Linked DNA regions of Mus musculus: regions 1, 2 and 4 are each reported to be linked to region 3. The links are microRNA targets in miRTarBase. Many come from high-throughput screens and were not tested one by one. Region 3 holds a microRNA gene; each other region holds the end of a gene's coding sequence.

Region 1 (3,184 bases), not on the chromosome of region 3:
TACTGTCACTTTAAATGCAACACTGTTGATCAGTCTTCAACCTCCAAAGCTACTGAGATCCAGGTTTTAATGTAACAATTTTTTTTAGGGTTGACAGCAACTCTTCCTTAGGTATTTAACTTTCCAAAATCTCAACAAATTTTACAAGATAGCGCTCTTTGTACAAAAGGCCAATATCCAATATCGCTGTTATAAGCAGAGAAACTTTGTTCTTTACAGTTAAACATCAATATCCCCACCCTTTTCTATTAAAAAAGAAACTGATGAAGTTAACACAGCAAAACCTTTTATCCGTAAATAAGACTTTGTTGACTAAACGTGAGAAATACAAGTAGCAAGAGGTGTCTTTCACGATGATAATATTTTTATTGTATAATTAGCTAGTGGTTTAGTTTCTCAAGTTGCTATTGCTGTGAAACACATGTAAAGCTCTCAGAAGGGTCTCCTTAGGCCTGTAACTTGCAGGACATACAGAGGACAGTGGAGAAGCAGAATCATGCTTCCCCTGACTCCTAACACATCTACACCCCTGCAGCCATAGCCAAGGGCCTGATTTGTGAGTTCTAGCTACGTTGTCTGCCTAATGGGGCGATCATGCAAGCGACAACAAGAGACAAAGAAACCAGCATCCCTACCAGAGAACCTAACTTCTCCGAAGCAGCATAGCTTGCAAATCTATCAAACTAAACTGCAAGAAAGACAATCTGATTTAGAGAAAAGGCGTTCTGCCACAGTCATTAAGCACAAGTAATTTAGATTTTTTATATTGTCTCCTCATTTACAAATTTACTGTATCAACGCCAGCCAATGGAACGAATTTCTTAAGTAAATGAGAAATAAATAAAAGAGATAGAAAGATAATCACATTACATAAAATAATTCTCTTTTCTAGATGTATTTTTGAGAGAACTAATGACAGTAGCAAAATTATAGAATAATAATATATCATAGGAAGTAATTAATTTAAATTAGCATCACGTTTGAAAAAATATAAGTGAAACGCTTTATGGACATTTACTTTTGTACAAAGATGGAAGGCCTGGAAAAGCATGCATCGGCATCCTGAAAATTAGTTATGGCCATAATGGTTTAATTGAAGACAGCAATTTAAAATATAATATTGTAAATCTACAATCCAGTTTCAGATCAGGGGATTTAATTGGGGGGGCAGCTGAACCCTTGAATGACTGTAAGTTCATTTGCAAGGCTACAGAAAGAGCCCCCGAGCTTCTCACAATTCGCTTACATTAATATTGATGTTGCCTGTGCAATCTATTTCCGTTATTTTTATGGTTGTTATTCTATGTCTGCAAAGGTCATTTAAATTATACTGAGGCCGAAAATTTGTTTCATAAATTTTGATATAAATACTAATTACACCCTCTCGGAGAGCCAGCAGGGTAGCGTTCATTTATCAAGTTTATATGACCAGCAATGACAGAGAAGAAGGCAAGAGAGGCTGGAGAGCTTTCCCAAGATCCACTAAAGCTGGCACAGGTTGCTGGGGGAAGGGAGCGTGACGAAGAAATTCCTACCACAATCACTGAGATTTAAGAATCTTTAATAACGTACGAAAGGTTACCAAACAGTTCTGGAAACTAAAGTGTACATACGAGTTTTTTTTTTTTTTTTACTAGCCATAAATATTGAATAGCTGTAACATGAATAAACCAGACCCTTTACATGCGGATAAATATGGAAACTAGGAATTATATACATTGTGTGGTTGTATATTTTGCCAAAAGCAATGGACAGCTATAGTTTATATCTTTTTAATATCACTTTACATAAACAAATGGAACAGTTTGACACGTAGATCCAGGCTCGTACTATACGAATTCTTGACAGGACATGAAACAACATTTTACTGCACTAAAGTACTCAGACTTTGGGACGAAATGTTTGCACTTTATACAAAAAAAAGCACATTAATATCAATAATATTCTGTTAGGTCGACGTGGAGACTGTAATCGTACAAAGTAGTTCACATTTTGGTACACATTTACTAGAACATTCTTGCCATTCAGTACAAACAGTTGGCTTTCGGCCGCCCCTCCCCTCCCCCTCCCCCTCCCTCTGGCCCTCCCCTCCCCAAGGCAAAGACCACCACGCCACGATCCCACCCACCCACTCCAACCGAAGTGTAGCTATATACAGAATCCAACAGAACAGATTTAAGCTAATAATTCTGTATTTACAAGAAAACAAAACAAAAAGATAAAGAAAAGCTGAAGCCCCAGAGAGCTTGTTCTGATCCAACAAGAAATTGGCCCTGGGGCCTTTGGCGGTGTTCGGTCAGGCAGCCGCCTTCTCTTCCACCCCCTTCCGCCCTTCAGCTACCAAACCTTTTCAGAGGTGGGTGGGGGAAGGAAAAATTTGGAGTGAAAAAACCTAAAGGCTTGCTGCCTCCTCTGTTTTACTCAGTCCTGGATTTACCGGCAGATTTAAAAACAAAATCAAACAAACAACAACAACAACAAAAATAAAAATAAAAACGTTTGCGGGATCGGGACGAGGGGTGTCTCGAGTTTCAGGATTCTTTCAATAATACGGCGTATATACGTGTGTGTTCAGTCTCTTAAATAGGGGGTCGGCATGTTTTGTTTCTGATTTTAAACGTACCATTCGTTAAAATTGGAAGAGAGCGCGCTGTGGCCGGCTGTGTGGTGAACCGCGGAGGAGGAGGGCGACATGGAGCTGGTGGTCGGGTTGTCTGTTGTGGGAGACACGATGGTGGGTGGCGTGGACGACTCATACCCCGAGCTGGCGGCGGGCGAAGGCTGTGAGCCCTGAGAAGAGGACTCATGGACCTGAGAGAATAAAGTTGCGTTTTAATGAAGATAAAGAGTGGGCCCAGCAGCTACCCAAGGCTATGAAAGCTGTGCTCCCCCTCCCTTCGCCCGGGCACCCCCTCCCCTACCCCTCCCCGCTTCTTTCAAAGCCAGGGATCTCCCAGACTCTCCGCAGGCAGGGCCAATGGGACTTGGGCTTGGTTCTCCCGGCGTAGCCCAGCACCGCCACGCTCCAGGAGGGGACTCTGCCCTACAGTACTCACAAAAGAAAAAGAGGAGGGGGGCTGGGAAGGAGGAGGCTGCTTTTGAGGCCAGAGGCTAGGAAAGTTCCCTTCCTAAAGTTTGCCTGCCCACTTTGAGGAGAGCGGATTTTGAGAGCTGAGCCCAAGAC
Region 2 (3,184 bases), not on the chromosome of region 3:
CAAGATTGAAATGTAGGCATGGCAACACCTTGCCTTGCCTTACCATCCCTTTTCACCGTGGAGACAGTCCCTCCAGCAGTGGAAGGGAATGGGCAGTCTGAGCCCTGCCTCCTGGGTCAAGCTGACTCTGCAGCTGCTTGAGAAGTAAGTACCATGTAGCTGTTGAACATGGAGGCCCTGTGGTTTTATCTCCAGTCCAGAACCTTGCTAGAATTCTTAGGATGTTTTGGGCTCATCCTACCCTGTTGGATGATCTTCCCAACAGGGTTCAAGTAGCCAGTGCAAGCACAAAACCTGAGTTCTATGTAAACAGCAAATCTGGAATTTTTTCAGGCACATACTACTGATCCCTAAAGGTGCAAACTATCAGGAGCCGCTGTATCTGAACATCATGCAGACTTGGGAAACGAGCCTGTGAGATAAAAAGCAGTGTCTCTCAGACGAAAAGAAAAAAGTTTCTTTAGCCTGTACTACTTATCTTTATCTGGTGGTAAACAGCATTTTACTCCTTAATGGAGTTAGGAATCCTGAGGATTATTTTCCTGAGGATTTTGCAAAAACTCATGATCTACAAAGAGAACCCTAGTTCTAGACTCAGAAGTACATACACCTCTCTACCAACAAAACCATACACCTAGGCAAGCCAAAATGCTCCATTATGTGGGCACTAAATCCCTTTTACTAATAGTGAAAAGTTAGGATTGAGATACCTACAGTTAATGAGTTGAAACTGGAAGATGCTGAGAGCAGAATGATAGGCCTTTCTGGAACTTATCCTTTATATAAATGTAATGGAGAAAGGCACACACATACCACAGCTTTCTTCACAGGTGTTACAATTGTTAAGTATATTGTTTCATGACAGCACAACCAAGATAATGAAATGCCCTGTGATGGTTCAGAACAAAGTAGACCCATACTGGCCATTCTGAAACAATATGTTCTTGGCAAATAATGTAAGGAAACCCAAGAGGGCAGATGTGTAGCTGGGTGCCCAAGATAAATATTCTGATCTCCAGGGAAAACTTAGGGATCAGGTAGAAGAGAGTCCTTTTTTCATGTTCAGGCTTTTGTAGTATTTAAATTCTTACCACGTCCACCCACTGTTACTTAGCATCTTAAACCCCACACTTCTCCCTTAGAGCCAGTGAATGCCTTATCATCAAAATGTTCCAGGTCAGCTATTCCATGATGTTCCCAGGAAAGACCCAACACTCAGAAAAGTTGAGGCTGGATTAGTTAAATCTGGAAAAGTTAAAGCTAAAACGAACGGTGGAGCTGTAACAGAATGAAGAGAAAAGTCTTGTGATTCACGTAAGAATGTACTGAACGCAGGAGTCTCACCAGTAGAAATTTATAGTAACACATTTTGATTACATGTGTAAGTAAAAAAAAAAAAAAATCAAAATGAGTATTACCTGCCAATAAAAATGCAGGGCCAAATTCCTTTTAAACAGTGGGTTTATGGAAAAAAATGGATCATACTCTGCCTGGATAGGGTCAACAGAAAGTTGGATGGGGGCAGCCGTGGGGGTAAGTGCACCAACTTAAAACCCATCTATTGGAGAATGTTCCAGAGAAGAACTTCTGAATGCTATCCCCCCTAAACAACCTGATGGCAGAACTCAAGCAGGCACTTCCAGCCATATGTGCACAGTTCCCTCACCAACACTTCCCCATCTTCTGCAGAGACCCCAGGACACAAGGTGGCAGCCTTGCCTTGATGGATACAAATCCCAAGGTGGTTTGGATCAAGAGTACAAAATCAGTCTTGAACAGGAGTGTGAAGAGTTGGGACTGGAACCAGAATTCTTCCGACAGCCATCAGATGAAGCTCGTGCCTTTCTGGCTCTGAGTGGTTGTCTGAAGCACATGGTCTGTCCTCCTCACCTCCAGAGCATGGGAGGTGCAGGGCTCTCTGGAGCCCAGAGAGTACATAGTAGAAAAGCAGCAGCAAAGGCTCTCCAGGAACTAGCACCACTGTGGAAGCCTTCTCCTCCAGAGAGCTTTCACACCTGCACACCCTGAGAATCTTTGGAGTTCAACATTCAGAGTGCTATCCAGCCCAGGGATCTGACCGGTCAGAGCTGTCTATGCTTGAGCTTGGATAGTGTGGTTGACTCAGGAAATGGCTCCTCCAGTAACAAAGTAGGTGGCATATTGGGAAATTTGAGCCTTAAGAAACATCTCCAAGCTGTCTGGATACTGTCACATCCAAGATGACTGACAGCTGCTCAGGCAGCCTACAGACCTTCACAGCCCTGTCTGGACACCAGGAGATCTGTTACAGGGAGTGTCTTTCTGATACTGGGCCTGTTTTGATCACCCCTTGAGGGTCTTGCAGAGCTGAGTCCCTGGGGCCATGTATCTTTCATATCCCATTGTTGATGTCCTTAGAGCCTCTCCAACTTCAGGATGGTGCTTTCTTCATCCTATGTTGAGGTGCCAGGAGCTGAATGGTTCAGACTCTGTGCCCTTTCAAGAGTCACACAAAAAAAAGTACGGTCTCACAGCAGGCATTAACATCTTCTCTTTTAAAAAATAAATATTTATGTAAACTTAGGGAAGAAGATTCAAAGAATCTCCTTCCCAAAGCACAAATGTCTCACATGACTCAAACCAAGATCAAGTCCACCAAGTCACAAATGAACTCCCCTCCCCGAAGCTGCTGTGTTGAGGGCAGGTATGAGCAGGAGTTAGCCTCCCGGCTCCTCAGTCCCCTTTGGTGATGAGGTCCTCAATGTAAGCATCCAGCTCATCATCTGTGTTGATGTCTATGTCCTGGAACAGAGTGGGTGGGAGTCAGATGGGGCAGGAACACAGGCTGGAGAATGGGCCTGAGCCAGCTGTCAGCTTCTGTTTCTTGCTCCTGCCCTACTTCCAAATTTCAGTTAAATCTGCATGCCCAAAAAAGGATGGGAGCTTTCTTATAGGTTTCCTGGTTCTAACCCGTACATCTTCAAACTGATTAGTGTCTTATACTAAAAGTTGGACAATGCCACATCAAACCACATATGTAGAGGTCTCTAACCTCTCCTACTGCCTACAACTTCCTATTACAGCTTAGTGAGCTCCCAGTCTCAGTACAAGTATCTCTACCCTGAGAACCCTAGGCAAGTAGCTTCCCCCAGGATTCCATCTCTCATTATTTATTTCAGTACTACCCCATTCATAGCTCCAGCTC
Region 3 (3,184 bases):
CTGTTATAAATATTAACTCCAACCACTGTACTTACTATTGGAGGTGATGAACCTTAATGACAGATGTTCTTTTTGAAATTATAGAGCCAAACTAGTTAGGAAACACACACACACACACACACACACACACACACACACACACACACACACACTTGCTTGAAGACAGTCCCTGGAATCAAGTCTACCATTTCAGAAGAAAGTAGAGGGTAAATAAAGATGATGAACTATAATCTTAAATCTGAGGTCTCTCTGGGGAAACAAATCTATTGCATGATTATAATGAGCCCCTGGATAACAAAGTACTTGGCTATTGAGGTACTATCCCTCTGCCTACCAATTCCATAGAGAGTAGAGCCATTTCAGCGATTCTTTATGCAGAGCAAAAGAATTCCCTCTTGCTTCAAGCCCATTTTGACCAAGAAATCTAATGAAAGATGAGGGGATGGTTATTTTCTGTGTAACAATGTGACGGATAACGGGGCAGGAAGTAAGATATTTCTTTGGTTCTTCCTCCCACCAGCACAGCAGAGCAGGAAGCCGTGCCAACCCAGGGCTACACAGTTGATTCTGGGCATCCAACACTTTAGCATTTTTAAGAAATGCCCCATTTGTAACCCCCAGGAGTATAGAAAAGCAGTATTCTTATATAAATTAGTGACTTCCTCACAGAAATAGGACTTGATATGAATTGAATAAACAAACCTGAAAGTTCAGACAGCAGAAGTTAAACCGAGAAACGGCGTTAATACCCCCAGGACCTCTATTAGGGAGGGAACGTCTGTTGATTGCGACAGCAAAAAGCGGGGCCACAGTTGCATTCATTGTTCAGTGAGCTTTTCTACACAGTTCAACCCACCGACAGCAATGAATGTTGATTGTGACCTTTGTAAACATAGTCTCTGAAGAGGCGGGGAGAATCCTGTCGGGTCCTGCTTTGCGGTTCTGTCTTCAGCAAACGCAGAGGGCCATGGAGTAGATGATGGTTAGCTATAGGGTACAATCAACGGTCGATGGTTTTTATTTGAATTCCAAACTCACCGACAGCGTTGAATGTTCACTGAAGCAACCTGTGAGGCAGAGATGTGCTGATTTAAACAGTATCTGTGGGAGTCTGGAGCAGGAGGGAGGCAGAGGAAAGCCCAATCCTTTAACCAAACCTGTCACACATTTTAAACCATTTCAAAAGAGTACAGAAGAAAAGAAGCAGGATTCCTCCAGCCCAGAGCTTGGCAAACCTCCACTTTGTGCTGTGTCAAAGAAAAGAATCGGATTTTTTTTTTTCAAAAGGGAAGAAAAGTCCTTTTGGGGGGAGCTTAGTTACAGGCTGTTAAAGACAGGGAGAATTTATCATTCAACAAAATTGGAACTATCAAAAAGCAAAACAAATAGTATCTAAGTATCTCATAATTTAAATATTGGTATGTATATAATAAGAACTGCAAGGACGCATGTAGGTCATGCAGAATCAAGCAGAAACCACTTAGGTTTTCTCAAGTTACATTGCTAACAATTTTGAACTTCTATGTTTACAATGTGCATGGAATAAGCATTTATTTTACAATAGGCATTTTAATTAGTATAATTTCTTTTAAACATACTTATTTTTAAAACAATCAAGGAATCAAACCAATTTAGCACATCTTTCTTTGCTTATGACACAAGACTTTAAACTACAATGAAAATTAATACAACCTATGCCTACTGCCTGAAATTCAACTCCTCTCACTTTGGTTATTATATCCTAATATTGTTATTTGTTTTGATTGAGTGGATCTGGCAGTAACTTCTATCCATTTCCTAGGTGTTCTTGAAATGAAGTGCATTTACAAGTTAGTATGAACTCTATTGAGCATGTCTTCAAAACTGATTTCAAATATCAACTTAAACAAAAATCCCTTTGTACTCCTCAAAACTAGGGTAGAAAGTTACTACATTATACTTATGTAGACTCTTAAGTGGCTTTAATAAGTATATATATATATATATATATATATATATATATATATATATATATATGTGTGTGTGTGTGTGTGTGTGTGTGTGTGTGTGTGTGTGTGTGTGTGTAACTATTAATAAAATATTGGTGAACCATTCAGTCCAAATTTTTATACATATTCATTTTATTTACTTAGAATATTGTATGCTAAACCTGTAATCATTTATTATCTTGTACACGAAGAGATTACAGGACAAGTGTCTCTGGCTGGTATTTTGAGGTAGATAAGGTAACGATCTGCTGATGGCATGCATTCAGACTTCAGATAGTTACAAGACATAAAACTGATGAATCTGAATAGTCCTGTGTGGCTTCCTTTGAGATAGCTTTCCTGCAGAGGGCTGTCTCTTGTGGAAGGAAAGCAAGTCTTCCTGGGACCATCTGTGTTATCAGTTTCACCAGAATGCATGTTGCTCATGTTCCCTTGCTTGACCACTGCACTATCATATTCAGGCCAGCATCCCATTGCTTCTATACATACCTGTCATTGCTTTTGATATCATTTTTTCAAGGCTGCTGAGCTGAGACTCTAAGCCATGATCATTGCCTTATCTCAATATACAAAATTGGAACTACGATCAAGCAATTTCCATCCGAATCACAATTAATAGCAAAGCACCGCAATGTGAGGGGTTTCCAGAACCTTCTAAAATTCTCTGTAGAAAATATAAGTCCAAATTTCTCAAATTCTTAGAATAAAATTACGGAGAATACTATCATGAAGTTCTTAGGAGATTGAAAGTGATTGGTGTTTAGTAAGAAATTAGATTAAACATCACATCACTGACATATTTTAACTCCTATTTATCCAATGAAACATGTACTTTTCTCATGGCTATAGTTTTTGATGAGAAAAACCTCTCAATAACTTAAACTCACTCTCCATGAGGAAAAGCACCTCTGCTCTTGCTGCACCTGCCTCACAGTAAGAGAATAACTTCAGGACGGTATTCTACAGGGGAAAGATGTCTACTTGCTGATTTAGCTTACCTTTCCTCGGCTTTCTACAATGCTGGTTCCAATCACTATTTTACTAGCTAACCTTGTCTGCACTGTTATTTTCCAAATTTGATAATTGGCTGGAATATTAATGTTGGACAGTATTGAAATTTTACATTTTCTGTCAGGTGTCGAGTCTTATTTGACTATTTTTAGAAAATGTTAAGATTCCAGGATTCTAAATTGGTG
Region 4 (3,184 bases), not on the chromosome of region 3:
AAAGTTCTATAAATAATGGAAAAAGGAAATTTTAAATGTTTCTTCACATTAGAGTTGGGGCACAATGCCAACTCGGTTTCTGTAGATTGTAAAACCACATTTAAGAGTGATGAGTGTGGCCATGAGATTTCCTTCACCAGAAGCGTAGTTCACCATTAACAACTCTAGACATTTCACAGGTCATTTATTTTTGACTTTCATTCTGATGTCTCATAAAGTGCCGGGCTCTGAACACATATACAGTTTTGTTTATTGTACACTTCTAAGAAAACCCACTTCTCTATAACCATTTCAGACTTTGAAGTCTCCAGCATTCTGAGAGACAGGAACCATGAGCTTTTCTTTGCTCTCACTTCTCATTGTCTCTTATAGAAGGTGAAGATGATGGACAGAGAAGCTCCACCGAACAAAGTGGAGAAGCCCAGGGAGAAGCAGCCAAGTCTGAAAGCTAACACTCCATTCTGACGGTCATCAACATCTGACAATGTGGCAAATATCCTGGCGATGCTCGGATGTATTCGCAGCCACGGGTGAAACGGAGGGGAAGAAAATGGCTGCGCTGCACAGCAAGACACTGTTGGTTGCCATGTCACAAGTGGGGATGGAGCCTGTGTCTGCACACAGCCTTTTCCCCACCTCTGTCATTAGCAATGGTTGAAATCACCTGGGCTGTGCTTGGATCTCCTTCGTGTATGGGTCCTTCCACTTGACCGTATAATGAAATGCTTGTAGAGAGTAGCACTGCCTAGCTGATGATTCCTGTGGCATCTGGCCCCTCATGATGTCAGAGGATTTAATTGTGTCTAATTGAAAAGAGTTGGTTGAACCCCAGAGTTTCAGTATCTCTGGCTGGAGTATTGACTCACAAAAAGAACCATCCAGAGAGCACAGTTAGCATTATGTCCCTGTGTGTGAGTGCTGTTACTTACGCCGTTTTGTATCGTACAGTACACCTGCTCTGCACTGCCCTTTGATTGCTTACATAAAACAAAATGATGTACATGACTGTGAATTTTTATACCGCTCATTTTTTAAAGGGCTGCCTTTTTAATTTCCCATAGTGTTGTGGCGTGAACAGGGCAGAACCTTCTTTTGTAAAACACAACTTTCCTCTTGATAACTGCCGAGGGTTACATCCACTAGACTCACTGAGCCCACTTTGCTTTATTATACAGGCATGTGGAAATATCCATGAATGTGAATATTGCCTGAGTTCAGTCTTAGTATCTACACAGACCAGCGTTCTGTCTTTCAATATTGATTTTATTTCCAAATAAGTACTTTCAACTGATACTTTAATTTTTCATTATAAGAATTTTTTTAAGAATCAACAAAATAAACAAAGAATGCCAGATAATGCAAAGAGCTAGAAATGTTGTGCTGTGAGGATCACTTTTCTCACACTGCTGGGTGCCACTGTTTAACGCAGGAGGACAACTTGTGAAGGAAGTGTTTTCCTCAAAGCCTGTGGGCACCCATCTCAAAAGTAAAGCCCTTGTGCTGTGGCCCCTCTCAGCCCTTTCATACCCAAATGTTGTTATGCACTTTTTAATGTTTGTAAAATTTTACTAATAATTTGTGTGAATTGCATTCAGATATAAAAATTATCACCCAACTACACTTTTACTGATGCTGTTGATGGTCTACGCTGTGTTTTGACATCACAATTCTTGTATGGGGAGTTTCTGTGGCCTGTATAACCCTCTCTGGTCAGTATTATGAAACCAACTATCTTTGGTAATAAATGAGGATCCAGTTAGATGCCCAAGGTTCACCTGGTGCATCATAGGAGGCAAATAACAGATGAAAGAAGACTTTCTCAACAGAAGAGCCTCTAAGTGTCCTGGAGCACTAGCATAGCTACAGTTCCAGGTTAAGTAGGTAGAGGTGTTTCAACAGGCAGACCTGGGTACGGTAGGAACTCGACCTGAGTCTGTAGTTACAGACAAGGTAGACAAGGAAGTCTGCCTATATCTTCCCATAGAGTGCTTTCATTACTGACTGGGAATATATGAATCTCATTTAGTCCCCAACTGGATGTTTTCCAGAAAAACAAGCACTGTTAAGTATGCCTTTCTGGATATAGAACAGTAAATACATTCAATATGAGAGGCCTTGCTTTGATCTAAGTCATTGGAGGCTAGCTAAAATTGAAACAAATCTACCTATTGATAGACTCAAAGTTGTGAACCTATGGCCTATTTGAGACAATCTCCGATAATCTATTTACAACATCCAACAGTTTCAATGTCCTTGTTTAACTATGCTGATAGCTTTCTTGTGAATAGGAAGATCATTCTTAAAGTTGTGTAATTCCACACTGGTTTCACATGCATTTTGTAAAGTGTTGAACCAGTGCTAAGACTGTGTGGAAGGGTTATACCCCTGTGTCATATACTATTACTAATGCATGCGGTGCCATGCTTGTCTTTAAATATATAAGTAGTGCTAAATGCAGAAGTCATAGGGAGGTTCTGATTTCATTTGATTTCTTACTGCTACTTGGTGTCCTGTATTCAATCCTAGAGGGATTCTGTGGCTGGTAAGGGAAAAGAGATAAACATTCTGAATTTGTCACATCACATAAATTTTAATTGGCAAAAGTGCATAGAATCTCCTGGTTTTCATTTAATACTTATCATTTGCAAGTAAATAATACTACATAGGGAATGAATCTGTAAATGCAGATGGAAGTGTGGGCAGCCCAAGGAAAGGGGTGTTAGTTAACTACCCCAGCTAAGTCACTTCAGAACCAAATGTACCATTCAGTTTCATCTTATGCCCCTTTCACAAATTACAATGTGAACATGAATAAGGACTAATTTTTGCAAAACTAAAAAGCTAATTTGAGCCCATGTTTATCAACAGAATTTTGAATCCACATTTCATAAAATTTAAGCTAATTACACAGTGTGTTTCTCTGTATGGAAAACTATAGATAATACACTCAGTCAGCTTGCATTTTACAGAGAAAGAATTTAAGTTACTAAATAGACTAGCCTTTCTTGGGTTTGTACACATGTCTTTGGGACAAAGACACATGTGGTTGAGCCTACCTTTTTTTGTTGTTGTTGTTGTTTTAATACTCAATTATAGCTTATTTTGAATTTATTTAAGACATGTAAACTGTAAATTTACATGCTATGTTCATGCTATGTATGTGAACAAATATTCTTGCTTTTTA

What was found. The annotated mature microRNA mmu-miR-181a-5p reads AACAUUCAACGCUGUCGGUGAGU and lies in region 3 at 1,033-1,055, opposite strand. An mRNA with a match to its seed (bases 2 to 7 or 8) in the 3' UTR can be bound and repressed. Matches are read on the target gene's strand: a 7mer-m8 pairs with bases 2 to 8, a 7mer-A1 pairs with bases 2 to 7 and ends in A, and an 8mer does both.
Region 1: miRTarBase lists Zic1 as a target of mmu-miR-181a-5p. The part of its 3' UTR that is shown has no 7-base or 8-base seed match.
Region 2: miRTarBase lists Morc2a as a target of mmu-miR-181a-5p. Seed matches in the 3' UTR shown: 7mer-m8 at 2,045-2,051.
Region 4: the mRNA of Pkia is a reported target of mmu-miR-181a-5p. Seed matches in the 3' UTR shown: 7mer-m8 at 1,193-1,199.

Annotation. Positions count from the first base shown.
Region 1 is chr9:91,358,956-91,362,139 of GRCm38, forward strand. It overlaps Zic1 (zinc finger protein of the cerebellum 1), which reads right to left. Exons shown (of 3, transcript NM_009573.4): 3 at 1-2,811. The coding sequence ends at 2,614. Among named protein-coding and RNA genes, the nearest start is that of Zic1, 5.2 kb to the right of the region's middle.
Region 2 is chr11:3,688,632-3,691,815 of GRCm38, reverse strand. Morc2a (microrchidia 2A) reads right to left here. Exons shown (of 27, transcript NM_001159288.2): 27 at 1,339-2,781. The coding sequence ends at 2,713. Among named protein-coding and RNA genes, the nearest start is that of Morc2a, 41 kb to the right of the region's middle.
Region 3 is chr1:137,964,339-137,967,522 of GRCm38, reverse strand. Mir181a-1 (microRNA 181a-1) reads right to left here and starts at 1,068; the gene lies at 982-1,068. It overlaps Mir181b-1 (microRNA 181b-1), which reads right to left and starts at 884; the gene lies at 805-884.
Region 4 is chr3:7,441,639-7,444,822 of GRCm38, forward strand. Pkia (protein kinase inhibitor, alpha) reads left to right here. Exons shown (of 3, transcript NM_008862.3): 3 at 373-3,184. The coding sequence ends at 452. Among named protein-coding and RNA genes, the nearest start is that of Zc2hc1a, 60 kb to the right of the region's middle.